Lepisosteus oculatus: one gene and its partner. The protein of the gene in region 2 binds, or shares a complex with, the protein of the main gene of each other region. Links are inferred from orthologs where the notes say so. Each region holds a gene or a part of one and is shown on either strand. Other genes may lie near its edges.

Region 1 (8,013 bases), on a different chromosome or scaffold from region 2:
AACTTTGAACACCTTAAAAATAAATGCATGTCACCGAGATGTACTGTGCATAGTATATGTGAAGATATTCAGGAAAACACAAAACCTGTTAAAAGCATTAATGAGTACTTCTTACAACAACTGCCAAAAAAAACTGACTGAATCAATGTGGTCAGAGTAATGGCCTAAAATGACCAAACTAATGAGCTATTGCAGCGACTATAGCATCCTCCATTCAGACTGTTTCGACTGTGCATGGTTGAAGTCTCAACAACTATTGTATTGGAGAAAAATAAATACAACATTAACAGAATAAACTACTGAAATTTGTTTTAAAAGTCTTTTACTATTGTTAAGTCTTGGTCTTTAGTGGCAGTTGTCAAAAATTGTGCAGAAATGGTCAGTTCGTATTACTCTTGGTCTTCATCTGCTTCAGTACGAAACATAGCAGCACTGCAGCCTCGTAGGATATAGTCCTACCTTGCGCCCTACAGTTCTGGGGTATAGACTGAATTAACATGATCCTTACCAAGAATATGCATTCTTCTGATAAGGTTAAAATGACAGCATATTAACACTGAATCAACAGTGAAACACAAACCAGAGGACACATGTGGAAGCTACATGAAGGTGCATCTGAACCCAGGAAAAGCAGGCAATTTTCTGAGACCATGGGACAGCCTCCCCAGCCATGCTGTTGAAGCAGATACCCTGGCTTCTTTAAAAAACATCTGGATCAGCTTGGATCAATTAGTTCCAAACCACCAAAGAGGCTAGATGGGCCATTGTTTGTAACCTCTCTAAATAGTTAATGACTTTAATGATTCGTAAAGTCAATGAGTCAATGTTATTTCCACATTCGACCTAGATATAGTACCAGTGGAGCCAACTCTGTACACATCACAGTCTTAAAGTGAACTTGGCTTGACCATGTCAGAGGAGCTCATTTTTGTTTAGCTTACCTTTTTATTTTTTACAAGGTGAAGAAGGTGAAGAACAATTATCCATGCAGCAGAAAATGTAAACCCATATCAGTGTCATTTCTCCATAGTCTGTATATACAACTATTCATTCAACTTAAAGCAAGATGTCTTCTACCATACCACATACTTTAAAGTGAGCTACGCTTGATTTGAATCAACTAAGGACTGAAATTCAGTTGTTTCTGCTTGTGGTAATACTTTTGGTTTCTGATTCTGCAGTGTCTTGGTTCTGTGCACTACCACCTGCATGCGAAAAAAGTATCCTATATCAATTTGCATACTCACAAAAGTTAAATGAACTACAGAACAGACTTTCTGAGATTTATGTTAAAGTGTAGCCAAAAAGACTTCTCAGACACACAATATATATGGATCTTCTCGCAGGAGGCTGCTGGTTAAAGAATAATCCCTGTACATGGTTATAGCTTTCTTTTATGTTTTCTTTCCACTTCTGTAGTTAAATAGCCCACTGTATAGATTTAAATTTAAAAACCTTTAAAAAAAGGCTTAATTAAACCGTGATTTTATTAATAAAGGGCTTAAGCAACTGACCCAAATCAAGAATCCAGCTAGAATAGAAAACCACAAGATTCTAGGTTTCCAATGAACACAGAAATCCTATACCACTCCCTCTCGTCTTGTCCCTGTGGCTTGTGTCTGTAATACGTAGGAAACATTAAACAGTACTTAGCCCACAGTGCCTCTTGCTCCAGAACATAATTATCAATTCTGGGAGCCCATTTGGCTATTTTGCTTTGCCCCTTGCTTGTTGTTCTACTGAAGCAAATACAATAATATTTTCACTTTAATACTATACATTTAACACAACACCAATCCCCTTCAGGAATATATTAAGCTAACATAGACAGATATTAGTAATAAATCTAACAAATGCACCAAACGCTGTGCATTAACTATATAGAAATGGAAACCAGGAGTAAAGGAATCTGCACACGCTTGCTCGGGTACTACAGTTCAGAAATCACAGCAGGGCAGTGAAGGCTGGAAGAGTTATGTAACTAATTGCGGGCTCAATCCCAGACAGTTGCGTTTACAAGCTTAACTTCTTGATCTCTACCGGGCTTTATTGTAAAATCTGTTTCGAATGCCGAGGAGTTACAATGAAACATCACTATTTAATAATCAAACGCCAGGCATGCTACTATTACCATCAGTAACTATACAGTACTGAGGACACGCACAAACTACAGGAGATCTCCATTACGATTGCTACACACAACTAAAAAGACGGTTTTCTGCACGTTTGTGATCAATACATCACATTTATATCCCGACTACACAAACAACAACAGTCACTTTTCAACACCTCTCTTCAGATCCGGGTTGTTAAATAGAATTATAGGAGGAGATAAGAAAACGATACTTAAACGATAGTAACTAAAAAAAAAAACCGAAAACAAGCCATCTGGCCCTGGCTCTGGCTCGTGTTAGTTATTCGTCAAATTATCGATGAAACGCAAGATCCATCCGAGCATTTTAAGATAAAGTGTAGCGATTACGACTATGCTCACTTCCTAGGTATATTTTAGGGTAACTGGGTTATTTGCTTTAGGAATGCAGCAAATTGCACGGCTTTAAAAACGATGAAGGCAAAGCTAATGAATCCTCGACGTCGAATAACCCCGCCTAGCGCCAAAGTAATATTTTCTCCAGTGTTACAGCTCGCTCAGGCAGCGTGGAAGCGCTGTCCTGGAGAAGCCGGAGACTCGACTGGCAGCGGCGCCGGAGACCGTCCACCCTGCCGGGCACTGAGCCACAGCCGCGGCGCTTCTCGGCAGCAGCTCCCCAACACCCACCCTACCTTCTGAGAGTGCTGCTGCAGGACATTCTGCTCCACGGTCATGGCCGGCACACACAACCAAACCAAACTTAACAGGAAAATGGCAAGAAATTGAAAAAAAAAACATATAACTAAGATGTCCCCCTGTTTATCAGCGCACTAGCGGGAGCCATTGGCAAGGTAGGAGAAAAGTCAACACAAGCCCATCGACACCCAGGCTCTCTGAGATCAGCTAGTTTGGCCTTGACTGGCTGCAATGACGTATAATCAGACAGGCCCACAAACATGGCGTCAGCGACCCCGTGGTGCGTGTGTCAGTTTTTGAAATGTAATGTACAGAAGTGAGAATTTAGCTAAACCTCCGTACCCGGGAAGCGTGATGAATGGAGTAACCTCTATTTAAGTGATTGCATGATCCGTGCAATTAGGATTCATTTAATATCTAAACATATGTTGGGGTCTGTAAAAATAATGCCTTAGCCAAGAGTTTGTGTGGTTAACAGTGGGGCAAACATTGTAAGAGTAAAAAAGACAAAAACACCTCTACAGCAGACGAAGCAATCTTCAGTTTTATGGACGAGTAGAAAATGAATGTTTTTTTTTAATGATTACCAAACTGCTATGCCAAATAAAATATACTCTTGTGAAGTTGAATACCTTCTCAGATTCCTCACCACGAAGAAAGAAACAGAACACTTTTTGAACCTGTTTAATGTAGGTTGTTTCTCAGAGTTCGGTTTTTCTTCGTAACAACATTCAGCCACATTTCCCTTCCACTCCTTCCAAACAGAAAAGAAAGGCTGAGTTGCTATCATGGATTTTATTAAAACTGCAGCTGGACAGTGCAGCCCGTGAGCAGGTTGTATTAGGCTCCAGTTTTGCCTCTTCAGTCTAAAGCAAACAGTTCTGTTAATACTTTGGTGTAAAGATCACTGTCGGGAAGGAAAAGGCACTATATCAAGGAAAAAACACGCCTCAGAAATCTTCAGAAAGAGTACCAAAGCTGAAATTGTCAAAGAGATAAGTATGGGAGCTGTGACTAGGGTAACTGGACAGAGCACTGCCCCTCCTGCCTCCCAGGGCTTTCTGCAGACCTCCTGCTAGTTCACTGCTGCTTCACAGGCCACTCTGGCCCTGGATTTGGAACACTGCAGCATGGACGCGCCCAGCCGGTCAGCAAGCAGGAAAGGGTTGAGGTGGGAATACTGAAAAAAAAAGAAGAGACTTTAAAAGTCTTTAAGACTTTAAGAGTGGAGGCATGGTGGCTTTAAGAAAATAAAAACAGGGGACCTCAAAGATTTCAATGATTCACTTAAGCAATAGATTATTAAAATAATTCTTATCTGGGATCATGGGTTCCAGAAACAACTAATATTGTGAACAAAACATTTAAAAAACACAGTACATCTTAATTTCCCAGTAAACTAGGAGCCTCATCTAATTCTGTATTAAAGAATCAACATCAAATGTAGTTTAAGTATAAAAGTGGAACATAAAAGCACACAAATGTATTACAGGTTTAGTATAAATTATCTTAAAAATACTGGGCCACCTGTCATACTTCAGAGTCCTGGAGACAGACCCACATTCATTTCTCATTTAGATGAGAGCAGTTCAAAACTGGTTTACAGTTGAATTTTGGATGTGGTTTGACTGCCTTTTACATTCCAACTGTGAAAAACAAATAGTAGGTGGTCATTCATATCACTCAAACCACACACTAAAAAGATTTCTACATTACATGAGTGTTCAGCAGGGGATATGCAAGTTGTGTGGGTTGCCTCATGTAGCACAGTGGCAGTGGGCTGCAAGATGTGCCGAATCGGTTGCTAAAAAGTGTGGTGTGACCTTCTGATTGAAGGTGCTTGTGTAGGCTTGAGCCTGAACAGTAGTTTCTGTGAGGTGGAAATTAGGCTACAAGCTGTAGCACAGCAATTACCAGGAGATTTGGCTGAAGAATTAAAAAATAATAAAATATGAATATACTGTAGGCACAATGGTCAAGAGACTTTTCAGGATTTCAGACATGCATACTATGTTTGTGTAACACAGGGGGATTTGACAGAGACTACTAAATTCAAACAGAAGAATCTCTAATGACATAAAATGCACCTATCACAATGAGCCAATGTTTCACATGAAACACTGGCATTAGGCTGCATTTCCCCAGGCTCTGCAAGGAAATGTCCTCACCGGAGGTGAAATCTCCTGGACGGTCAGAGGAGCATCAGCGTTCAGAATGGAAAAGTCAGATGAAAAGCGGGAGTACTGGAGAACAGAAGCCGTCTCGGCATCCACCTCAACAGCTACACCTTTCTGGAGACAAAATGCTCTCACTACGGTATCAAACAGAACATAGCTCTGCTATAGAGCTGAACTAACCCTGCATGGAAACAAATACGAGCAAATGTTAATTTCATAAGATCAGCTATCCAGTTTCAGTGGTATCATATCAGCAACAAGGCAGTCAGACCAGTCACAGCTATAGGCAGGACAGCTCACTTCTTTCAGTAGTTACTGACAAGGAACTCTGCACTAAAACTCGCTACCTCAAATCTCACTGAACAGATTTTAAGAATGAAAAAATAATTTCCAAATACCACAGAAAATTTTATTCTAGGTTATCACTGTGCATCACCAAATCAGTGAAACATGCTGCACCATGCTTTACACTTGCCTTAATGGATTATTTACCAGTTTACTGGAACAGTAAATCATGGCAAATTGGTTAAAACAAGAGGAGGCCCATCTAATCCATTTTGAAGTTAGTAGTTACTTGATCCCAGGATCTTATCCAATTGTTTCTTGAAAGAAGCCAGGGTTATCAGTTTTAACAACAAGGCTGGGTAGCTTGTTCCATAGTTGCACAACCCAACAATGTCAAAGAGGAGTGGACACTGCTTATTGTTTTCTTTTCATTACAATCTTAATGGAGGGATACACATTGTTTCCCATTCTAATCTGATCAGATGTTTAACTCAGAAACGTGTCTGCACTCAAGGCAGAATTTCTGGAGAACATGCATACCTTAAAGGTGTGAGAAGCATCAAACACCAGCTGGTCAGGATGGTCAGACACGGTCCCTTGGTATGTCATGATGGCATTTCCATTAGTTCTGTTTTTTGGCAATTTAAAGACACGGTATGTCCCAGATGCATATGTAATATCACCTAAGCAATAAAAAAAACATTTAATACTGTAAAAGTAAGTAAATTAGCACTCAAATCAATTATGTAATTTCTGGCATTAGTGTAACAGAGAGCCAAAATTTGTCACTTCCATGGAATAAAGTGTAAATTTTCAGCAGAAATAATTTGTTCTATTTAAAAATGGAAAAACAGAACCCCCCATCTGGATGGTTAAACAGGAACATATGGACCAAACCTCTGCCTGTTGCTTTTTCTTTGCCTTTTCCAGCTCATAGTTTCTAGTGGCTGAGTGTGGCACAGCCCATGAAGGAAAGCTCCAGGAAAACCACTAACAAACACACTGTAGAATATTCAAAACTGGGTCTTTTAAATGCCCCACTGGTTACATAACAGCACCTTTTGAGGAAGACTAATTTCATAACACCAATGTCGTGCAATGAGCCTGTTCAAGTTCATTGTCATTATACTCATATACAGGTATATGGTTTAATTAAATGCTATTTAGCTAGCTCTCAGACAATAAGTAATACAAAAAACAACAATACAATTGTATAAGAAAAGAAAGACCGAGACAACAGGCAGTGTGCAAAATCATAATGAGATATTATAATATCAACATAATGAAATAAAGGATAGAAAATTATGGGGAGTGAGCTACTTGAAGTGAGGTAGGGGTAGATTTCAAGGTGTTTGAACCTACAGTGCCTTCTCTCTTACCAGATCGTAGGTGAGAGAGGCTGGGAGTTTAATAGTTTGATAGTGCGGGGGTAAAAACGGTCTCCGAGTCTGGTAGTCCAGGCCTGAATGCTCTGGTACCGTTTTCCAGATGGTAGAGGCTCAGTCTGTAGCTGGGGCGTATGGGGTCTTTGATGATGCTTAGAGCTTTCCTCAAGCACCGTCTGTCATTTATGTCCTGTATGAATGGGAGGGCAACCCCAGTGATGGACTGGGCACCAGCTGTAAGGCTTTGCGGTCAGCAATACTGCAGTTGCCGTACCACACTGTGATACAACCTGTCAGTGTGCTTTCTGTAGTGCACCTGTAAAAGTTAGTGAGGATCTGGGGACATATCTTAACCTTCTTCAACTGTCTTTGGAAGTACAGGTGCTGTTGCGTTTTCTCGATCAGACAGGTGGCATTGAGAGACCATGTGAGGTCCTCAGTGATATGGACGCCAAGGAATTTGAAGTTACTGACACTTTCCACTTCAGTCCCATTGATGTGGATAGGGGCATGTCCGTTTTGCAGTTTCTGAAATCAATGATCAGCTCCTTGGTTTTGCCGACGTTGAGGGTGAGGTTGTCTTCACACCATGTTGTAAGGACCTCCTCCTGGAAGGCCCTCTCATCATTGTCTGTGATCAGACCTCCAACTGTGGTGTCATCGGCAAACTTGATGATGGAGTTGGTGTTGTGTTTGGCCTTACAGTCGTGGGTGTAGAGCAATGGACTAAGCACACAACCCTGGGGGATCCCAGTGTTCAGAGTAGTGTGCCAGAGGTGTGGTTTCCAAGCCTGACAGCCTGAGGTCTGCCTGCCAGAAAGTCCCAAATCCAGTTGTAGAGGGTGATGTCGGGACCAAGTCGGGATCAGGTCCTTCAGCCTTGCGCGTGTTCCAATTCCTACTTACCCGTTTTTTCCAAGAGTTCACGGTTACGTATGACAATGTGGCTGGCAGCAACAAGGTAGGGTCTGCTGAAGCCTATATCCTTCACCAGTGATATCAGGTCCATCCAGTACAGGGAGCCACCCAGGCCTTCCCCTGCGACAAATCAAACACACCAGTGATTATCCGCCCCCGACCACTGATTTACTGAGAAATGCTGACAGCAACTACAGCCGAGAAACTCCTCATCCCGCTTCATTTATGGATCATTTCTCATATCGGAAATTCAAAACAAATTGACTGGAGATGTTTCTGCAGCAAGAATTCCAATTCTCCATAAGGTGTTTAAAATTTCATTCACATTTTTATTTTACAGAGCACCTTCTCAAGGACAGCCTCAGTAAACTGCTAAGTCAGATACAGGAGTGAAAGTACTATGAATTTCAGGCATCTACAAGAAGCCTACAAACTTAATGTAAAAAATTCCCCACCAGCC
Region 2 (7,115 bases):
GACATGATTTCATGATTTACACACTCATTGGTTAATATACACAATCCATTCACAATTATGGCCCGAACTGAAAAACTTAAAAAGAGTTTGAATCCAGTCAGGAAGAAGGATTTGAAAATCGGAATAATTCTATTTGTTCCCACAACATAAAACAACTCGGCTATTTCTCTACATTAAGTAAGAATCCGCAAATAATAGGTTTTATGCGAGTGAGATGGAAAAAAAAACATGATGCTGTCTTTTTCTTTAAATAAAGTGTTTTCTTCAACATTAAATGCTGATTGACCAGACAGGGCTGCAGAATCCCTACACTGGCATGTGTGCCAAACACTTTTATCCTGAGCTTAACATTTTGTGTTGCCCCCCCATGACTCCAAGGCAAGTAAAGAAAAATAAGTAGGAAAGGGTCTCAGCATTATATCTATATACACATATACTGAATATGCAGTAGACATTCTACATCTGTAAATGTATGCTTTCACCCATGTTGACCACGTTTTCTGCAAGGAAGGAGTACCTGAGCAGAAGACTGTGAAGCGCTGATAATATCCAGTTTACAGTCCTTTTTTCACTAGGTCATATGCCAGGTTTTAGAGACAGTTTTCATATAACACAGGAAGGTGCAGGCATCAAGTGTAATCCAGAGAAAAGCCAAGCTCTCTGTAGTGATTGTCATATTCTGGTGATTCTTTTGCCAACCAATGTGATTATAACACTGGAAGATACTGGCACTTTCGTTTATTTTGCACTGTCAGTGAAGTACTTTTGACAATCCCTCAGACTCGGACAGTTAAGCAGGTATATGAAAGAAAATACATCTCTGGTGTGAAGTAGCTCTAAATTTTATCAAGCAAGATCTGAGGAATTCTCTCAGAGTTTCTGAAAAGTCTCGGGATGGATGTTAAAGTTATTCATGTTATGTTCCTATCACCACCCATGTCAGCTGCTAGACAAGACGTACGCAGAGAAAGGGCCTGAGAAATGTTCAAACTGCCATACACCTGGATTGCCAGATCTATTTCTGGAACAACCTCCACACTTTTTTCTTCTTTTGTAGTTTTTTTCTGAAGTACAAAATAAGAGCTACCACAAGGGAAGCTGAGAAAAATAGAGTTGTCAAAGTTTTGGTTGTGGGACTTTTGAATATTTTAATACTTTCTAAAAGGTTCCTAACACATTTTGCACCTTTTTGTAGAAAAACACCCTGGCGTGTCCTGGCATGTTGCAGCTATAAATACACATACCTGCTGTTCTACAGCCAAATAAAAGCAACACAAATGGAAGGTTTTGACATCTGATCTTGAATTTATTAAATAATGGTACATTAAAATAGTACTGACTTTTTGTTAGGCTTTTCTCAGGACAATGTGGTCCATTCAGGAGGACCCAACATGGTGGTCTTAAAATCTTAGACTTGGGGTCTTTTCTGCCCCCTTATCTGAGCAGGTGTGTCAGACTACAGACAGCAAAATAAATCACACTGGCTGACAGGTCTGTCAGCACGTGTTGGACCATTTGTCACAAGCATTTACCCAGACAAGGCCTAAACTGGAAAGTAATTTTCATGTGATCTCCCAGTAATAATAATAATAATAATAATAATAATAAACTTTATTTTATATAGCACCTTTAAAGGGTAGGTTCTCAAAGACAGTATTCTCAGTATATCAACATAAGTTTCGATTTTACTTTGCTTGTAATTACGTGGAAAATGAAGCAAAATCGGTCTCATCTTGATTGCAATCACACGCCCTGAAAAGTTTGTGTTCCCCACAAATGACAGACGAAAAGTCACGTTTTGACAGCACAAGTTATTTATCTCCGTGTTAAAAAAAAAACAGCTCTCCATAATCAACTTCACGGATTGCCGCTCCCACAGCGCGCACACAACATGCGGACACCCGCACGGCCTGGGCTTCGTTTAAACGCTCAACCCAACTTCCCAAACTTCAGTTCAGACGTTGTTTTGAACGGATCTCTCCTCGTAAAACCCAGATGGGATAACAGAGCTTCGCGCGAACTAATTCAGACACGTCGCGGAGTGGCGTGACAGCTTATGCTCGCTCAGGTGTTACTAGCCTCTCCTCAAACTGGCACGACCCCCAGACTCGGCAGATGAGGGCTAAACACCAGCGAAGTCTCGCCGCAAAGTTATACTCCAGTTAAAAGGCATCCGCGTTCATCGGCTAAACCACCACAACGCTGCCCACTCCACCGACCTCATCGAAAAAACGGAAGCAACTCTAATGTGCAAAGACACGAATTCCACAGCAGCTGCAGCCTCCCGGATGGAAGCGTGGATTTCCAGTTACTTTGATCCACCCCCCCCTCCTATTTTCTCGATTAGAATTGTCGATCATCAGCGCTTTAATCGTTTATTGCGGGTTTTCAACCACCCTCCAGGGCTGCCCTTACATATCCTAACAGCGACTTCAAATGTCAAGCGATAGAAAACAAATCAAACACACACACAGCGAAATACTGACCGGCCGCGAAGTGAAGCGGGGTGGATTTTCTCCCGGCCATGTCCTTGGCGTTCACGTTCCCCGAGTCCACCAGCCTCTTGACCCGGGACACATCCCCGTTGCGGCAGGCCTCAAACAGCTCCCTAAACGCCCCCCCGCCGCCGCCGCCGCTACCTCCCGGACTTGCAGTGCCCGAGTCCGGGCTGGAGCCGCCGCTGCTGCTGCTGCTGCTGCCCCCGCCGGTGGTTGTCGTCGTGGAGCCGCCGCCGCCGCCGCCGCTGCTGCTAGCAGTACTGCTGCTGCTGCTAAGGGCCGGAGCGGGGAGATCGGGGGAGGCCGGCGTGATCTCCGCTTCCCCGCTGCTGTCCTGGTCGGCGCCAACCGGGACCGTGGCTGCAGCCCCTGCGGGTGCAGGAGCAAGAGGTGAACCTGGGGGAGTCGGGGAGAGAGAGGAGCTCCGCGGAGGGGACGACAGGCTCTGTTGCTGCTGATGAGACGAGCGACGAGACGCCGCCATTTTCACAACACAGGAGTCCCTCTGGCAACAAAAACAGCGCCGCTCACTTCCGGGAAACAAGCAAATGCGTGCTTCCGGACGTGGACAGCCAATGATCGCAGAAGCAAAACAACTTAACAAAGGACAGACGATCCCGTAGCGCAAATATATGCTGTACGGACTTTATTGGAGCCGGGGCAGAAGTGAAACTCAGTAGAAAATGAGGAGAATAACACGCATTATGTACATACATCGAAATAAAAGTACCCTTGAACACTACTCCAATTTATTTTGACAAATTAAAACTTTGCAACGAAGATAAACACAACAAATAATGTAAAAAAAAGTCAATTGGTACAAATGTTTCGCCTCGTTTTCTGCGCAAATAAACACACTTTGTTGAATAGTTAAAGCCATAGCATCCAAAATTAACAGTTACCATATGTAATCCAAAAATCTGGTTAGACAGCTCTTGATCGAACTCAGATTCCTGACATATTATGGTCTTCTTGAAATTTTCAATGTGTTCCTTCAAGGGTTCCCTTCTAAAGGTGTTCTATGGTGTATTTTGAAATAAACACGACAGAGTGCAGCAGAATCACAGTGAAACATTAAACCCAGATGGATAATATTTTTGCCATGGCAGAGAAAATTAAAAACCACATCCTTGTGGTACATGTACATCTTGGAACCCATGCAGTATTACTGGACAGATTTATCATGGTAATAAGAAAAACTGAGGTTTTAGTGGATAACAATTGAGGGGCAGCAATAGAGTACTAGCTGGAAGATTGTGGATTTGATTTTCTTATGTAGACTCTAAGTACCCCATATGAATGGACACAAGCATGGCTGGAGTTACTTGGGCTAGTGTCATATACAACAAAGTCATCTAATCTTAGTCCATTTAACACCACGAAATCTGAGATGAGCTCAAACATGATGAGCCACAAGCCTCCAGGATAGCTTTTAACAACGGAGGATACAGAAATAGAAATGAGTATTTGCTAGTCTCTATGAGCCTGTCAACTCACCTGCACCCAGGAAAATCATGGATCCAGTATATCATCTGCCCATGCTTCTACTTCCATACTCTACTGTGTGATTAACTGTAACAGATTCACAATCGGTTCTTTGTATTACCTTTTTTACCCAATTTTATCACTTCAACATCTACAATGCTAACTTACAGTAAGTTTCTCCTGCATTTCTGGATTTTGCTGGTTGTCTTAAATTAGAAAGACCATCCATGGAGTCAGTCTTATTTTGCTCTTAATGTTGGGAAGGTCTTAATCAAAGCTCATCTCAGCATACTCCAACCCCCACCCCCACCTCCTCCTTCACTGTAGCATTTATTGTGGAAACCAAAATGTTTCTTAACTACTTGGTCTCCTGTACATGACGACTAATCAACACATTTGCTTGTGGACTCTTTATAAAGCCATCTATCTTAAGATTAAAATAATGCAAAAATCGAATAATGTGTCAGCTTTATCCCTATGCAATTTACTTTTCTATGTTTAATGAAAACCTGACACTGGAGATATTAAATAGAAACAAATGCTGCTAATTAATTTCATTGTGTTTTTTTTTTCACAAATGGCAACAATAAACATCACTCATTGTCATAGTAATTACTTCCAGTGCTCTTATTCCTCTTCTAAAGCATGTTGTGCATATAATTAATATGTTTTGAAATGCACTCATACATAATTACATCATCTTGGTAAGGAACCAGGGAGTGTCCGCCATAAGCAACAAAAATTACTGACATAGCATCTTCTTAAAAAACTGACATGAATTTAATCAACTTTTAATTGTAAACATAGCATCAATTATGACAAAAAAACATTTTGCAGCAGGTTGACTGCCACAACATTGATAAGTTAATTTTTCTGATTAACAGTGGGTCACAGGCTACCAGTGTGTGTGGCCCCTGCTGGAAAGAATTCAAGCTTAAAATCTTGACATGTTACATTGCCTGTGTAAATCCTGGTCAAGCATGGGTCAGATCACTTGTCTCTGAGCTCTAAAATGGCACACATCATCCCAGTTCATCCCACTAATGCTCCATAGGGCTCAAGGTTTGGAAGCAGGACATTGTTGACACCACTGTCGCATACTCAGAGAAAGCTGTTACACAAGCAACAGGAGGACTCACTTTGGCTGTCTGGAATGTTATCACAGCTGGATGAGTCCACAGGAGGAGCAACAAGCGATGCCCCAGAACTTCATCAGAGAAGTAGTGTGCAGTTGGGATGTGTTATAAGGGGATTGCTGTAGCGACCGGACACTCTTGCCCAGACCATCATATTTGGATCTTCCTGTTGATCGATCTGTTGTACACAGCGCTTGGCATGACACTCTGCACATCCCTACTACGTTCGCAGAAATCTATCAGGGGGGGCTACACAAAACCCTGATTCATTGTTACGGAGGATTTGGCATCACTGCCTTCATGTCCACATGAATTCATTTAGTCCAGCTTCCAACATATTGATTGCATGAAGGCATTGTTCCCTTGATAAAAGATCCTCTTAATATTGGTTCTTTTCTGTGGTTTTCTCTTTCGATTTTTTACAAGGTTTGACATTAAAACCACCTCATCACCTGTGTCCAATTGACTATCTCACTAATTAGGTGATTTAGTGATTATACAACCGTTGAAGTCACTTAAGTGTATTACAGTCTCAGAAGTATCAATTAGTCAAAAAGATGGCAAGAACATTTAATTAATATCCAATATTTATATACTTTATTTTTCAGTAATATGTTTGTTTTGATGCTCTGTACAAGAGTTTGTAATATTGATGATCCCTATAAAACCAATTGTTGGTTTTGCATCTAAGTCAGGTGTGTAAGAGAAAAGTTAAAGAAAATGACTAAACTGAGTAAAAAAATAACAAAACATTTACCTATCTTTGCAATACAAAGTGCAAACCAGTACCAAACAGGTCAATTTTTTACTTTCCATTGGTCTGTTAATTTAACCCATAAACAACATGCCGTCCATCTTTAAAATGAGACATTAAACTGAGGTCCTGACTCTCAGTGCTCATTAAAGATCCCTGGGCATTTCTCAATAAGATTAGGGAGTTATTCGGTGTCCCAGGCCAAATTTCCCCCCTCTGGCTTTACCGTGGCCTCCAAATTGTATGATTGGCTTGCACTTGCCCTGGGATGGACTGGAGAGCCGTCCAGGGTGTCCAGGGTGTACCCTGCCTTGCATTTGTTGCAGTCACGATTGTAGTTTGTCCCACTTAAGGGCTCTCCGGCTCTTTCACATTTGAGTTGATTTTGTGCACCTGCTCCCAGTTCCTGCCTCCCTACTTAAGCCAGACGCTCACTCTGTTCCGGGCTCTGCATTGGTTTCCAGTACCAGTGGAGTATGGGACCTGGAGCGCCTGGTCCTGTTTCCCCTTTTTCCCCCCGACCCTCCGCCAGATGGTATAAAGCGGTTTGGCGAATGACATGACATGACATGAGATGACAACATGCCATTCAACTTAATCTATGTCTCCAACACACATGACACTACTGTCATTAAAGAAAGAAGCTCCATGCAGTCTTCTTTGTATTACCCAGAAGCCTCTTTTATCTGCTATTCTAAAATAAGCTGTGTTAACACAGGTCAATTTGGAAATAAAATAAGACATTTGCCTAATTCTGTGAAGCCCGATTCACTCAGCCCACACAGTTCACTGGGGCTCTCTGTGATTTGAAGAAAGCTGTGTGAGCTGAAAATCCATTATTTAACATTGCAGAACTACTGTTTGACTTGAACAGAGACTACGAATAGCATTGTTCAGATCAGGGAAAATAATACCTGTATTCATTCTAGTTTAATGTCTTGCCGTGACATCCGCTAAATCATTTTATGTAAAGCAAACAAAAAGAGAACCCAATTGGAATGTTAACACAGAGTACCTAGTTGTGGTAAATCCTAATATACAATATTTATAGGATAATCCTAACTGACGTAAATTACACTACACAGTAGCAAATCACTTACCCTTTCAGATCTTCACATTTGTTTGACCAGAGCTCTATAAAGTCTTATACACTGGCTTTGAAAATAATTTAATTGTTGTTCATTTGGTTGTTTTTCTTATGATAGAGAATTCATTGCATGTTCAGAAGTGTGCCCAATCTTA

The links. The genes of interacting proteins can lie anywhere in the genome.
Region 1: the proteins of poly [ADP-ribose] polymerase tankyrase-1 (region 2) and usp25 are in contact, whole or in part, in a crystal structure (PDB 5GP7), measured with the Homo sapiens proteins. The link is inferred for Lepisosteus oculatus from reciprocal best matches to the Homo sapiens genes TNKS and USP25. Residues at the interface, in NP_003738.2 of Homo sapiens: Arg836, Ser838, His842, Leu843, Gly846, Tyr847, Leu871, Asn876, Ser879, Tyr880, His882, Asp900, Trp902, Phe904, Glu909, Gln912, Lys913, Gln934, Glu935; in NP_037528.3 of Homo sapiens: Ser1046, Ser1048, Arg1049, Thr1050, Pro1051, Ala1052, Asp1053, Gly1054, Arg1055.

Annotation. Positions count from the first base shown.
Region 1 is NC_090700.1:253,005-261,017, forward strand, and holds the start of usp25 (ubiquitin carboxyl-terminal hydrolase 25), read right to left. Parts: upstream 3,008-8,013; 5' UTR 2,827-3,007; coding exon 2,785-2,826; exon of another isoform or gene 2,637-2,784; intron 1-2,636. Other genes in the region: arsenite methyltransferase, read right to left, coding at 3,864-3,968, 4,957-5,079, 5,791-5,933, 7,542-7,673. UniProt on the Homo sapiens protein: Deubiquitinating enzyme that hydrolyzes ubiquitin moieties conjugated to substrates and thus, functions in various biological processes including inflammation and immune response.
Region 2 is NC_090698.1:18,734,521-18,741,635, forward strand, and holds the start of poly [ADP-ribose] polymerase tankyrase-1, read right to left. Parts: upstream 3,031-7,115; 5' UTR 2,983-3,030; coding exon 2,487-2,982; intron 1-2,486.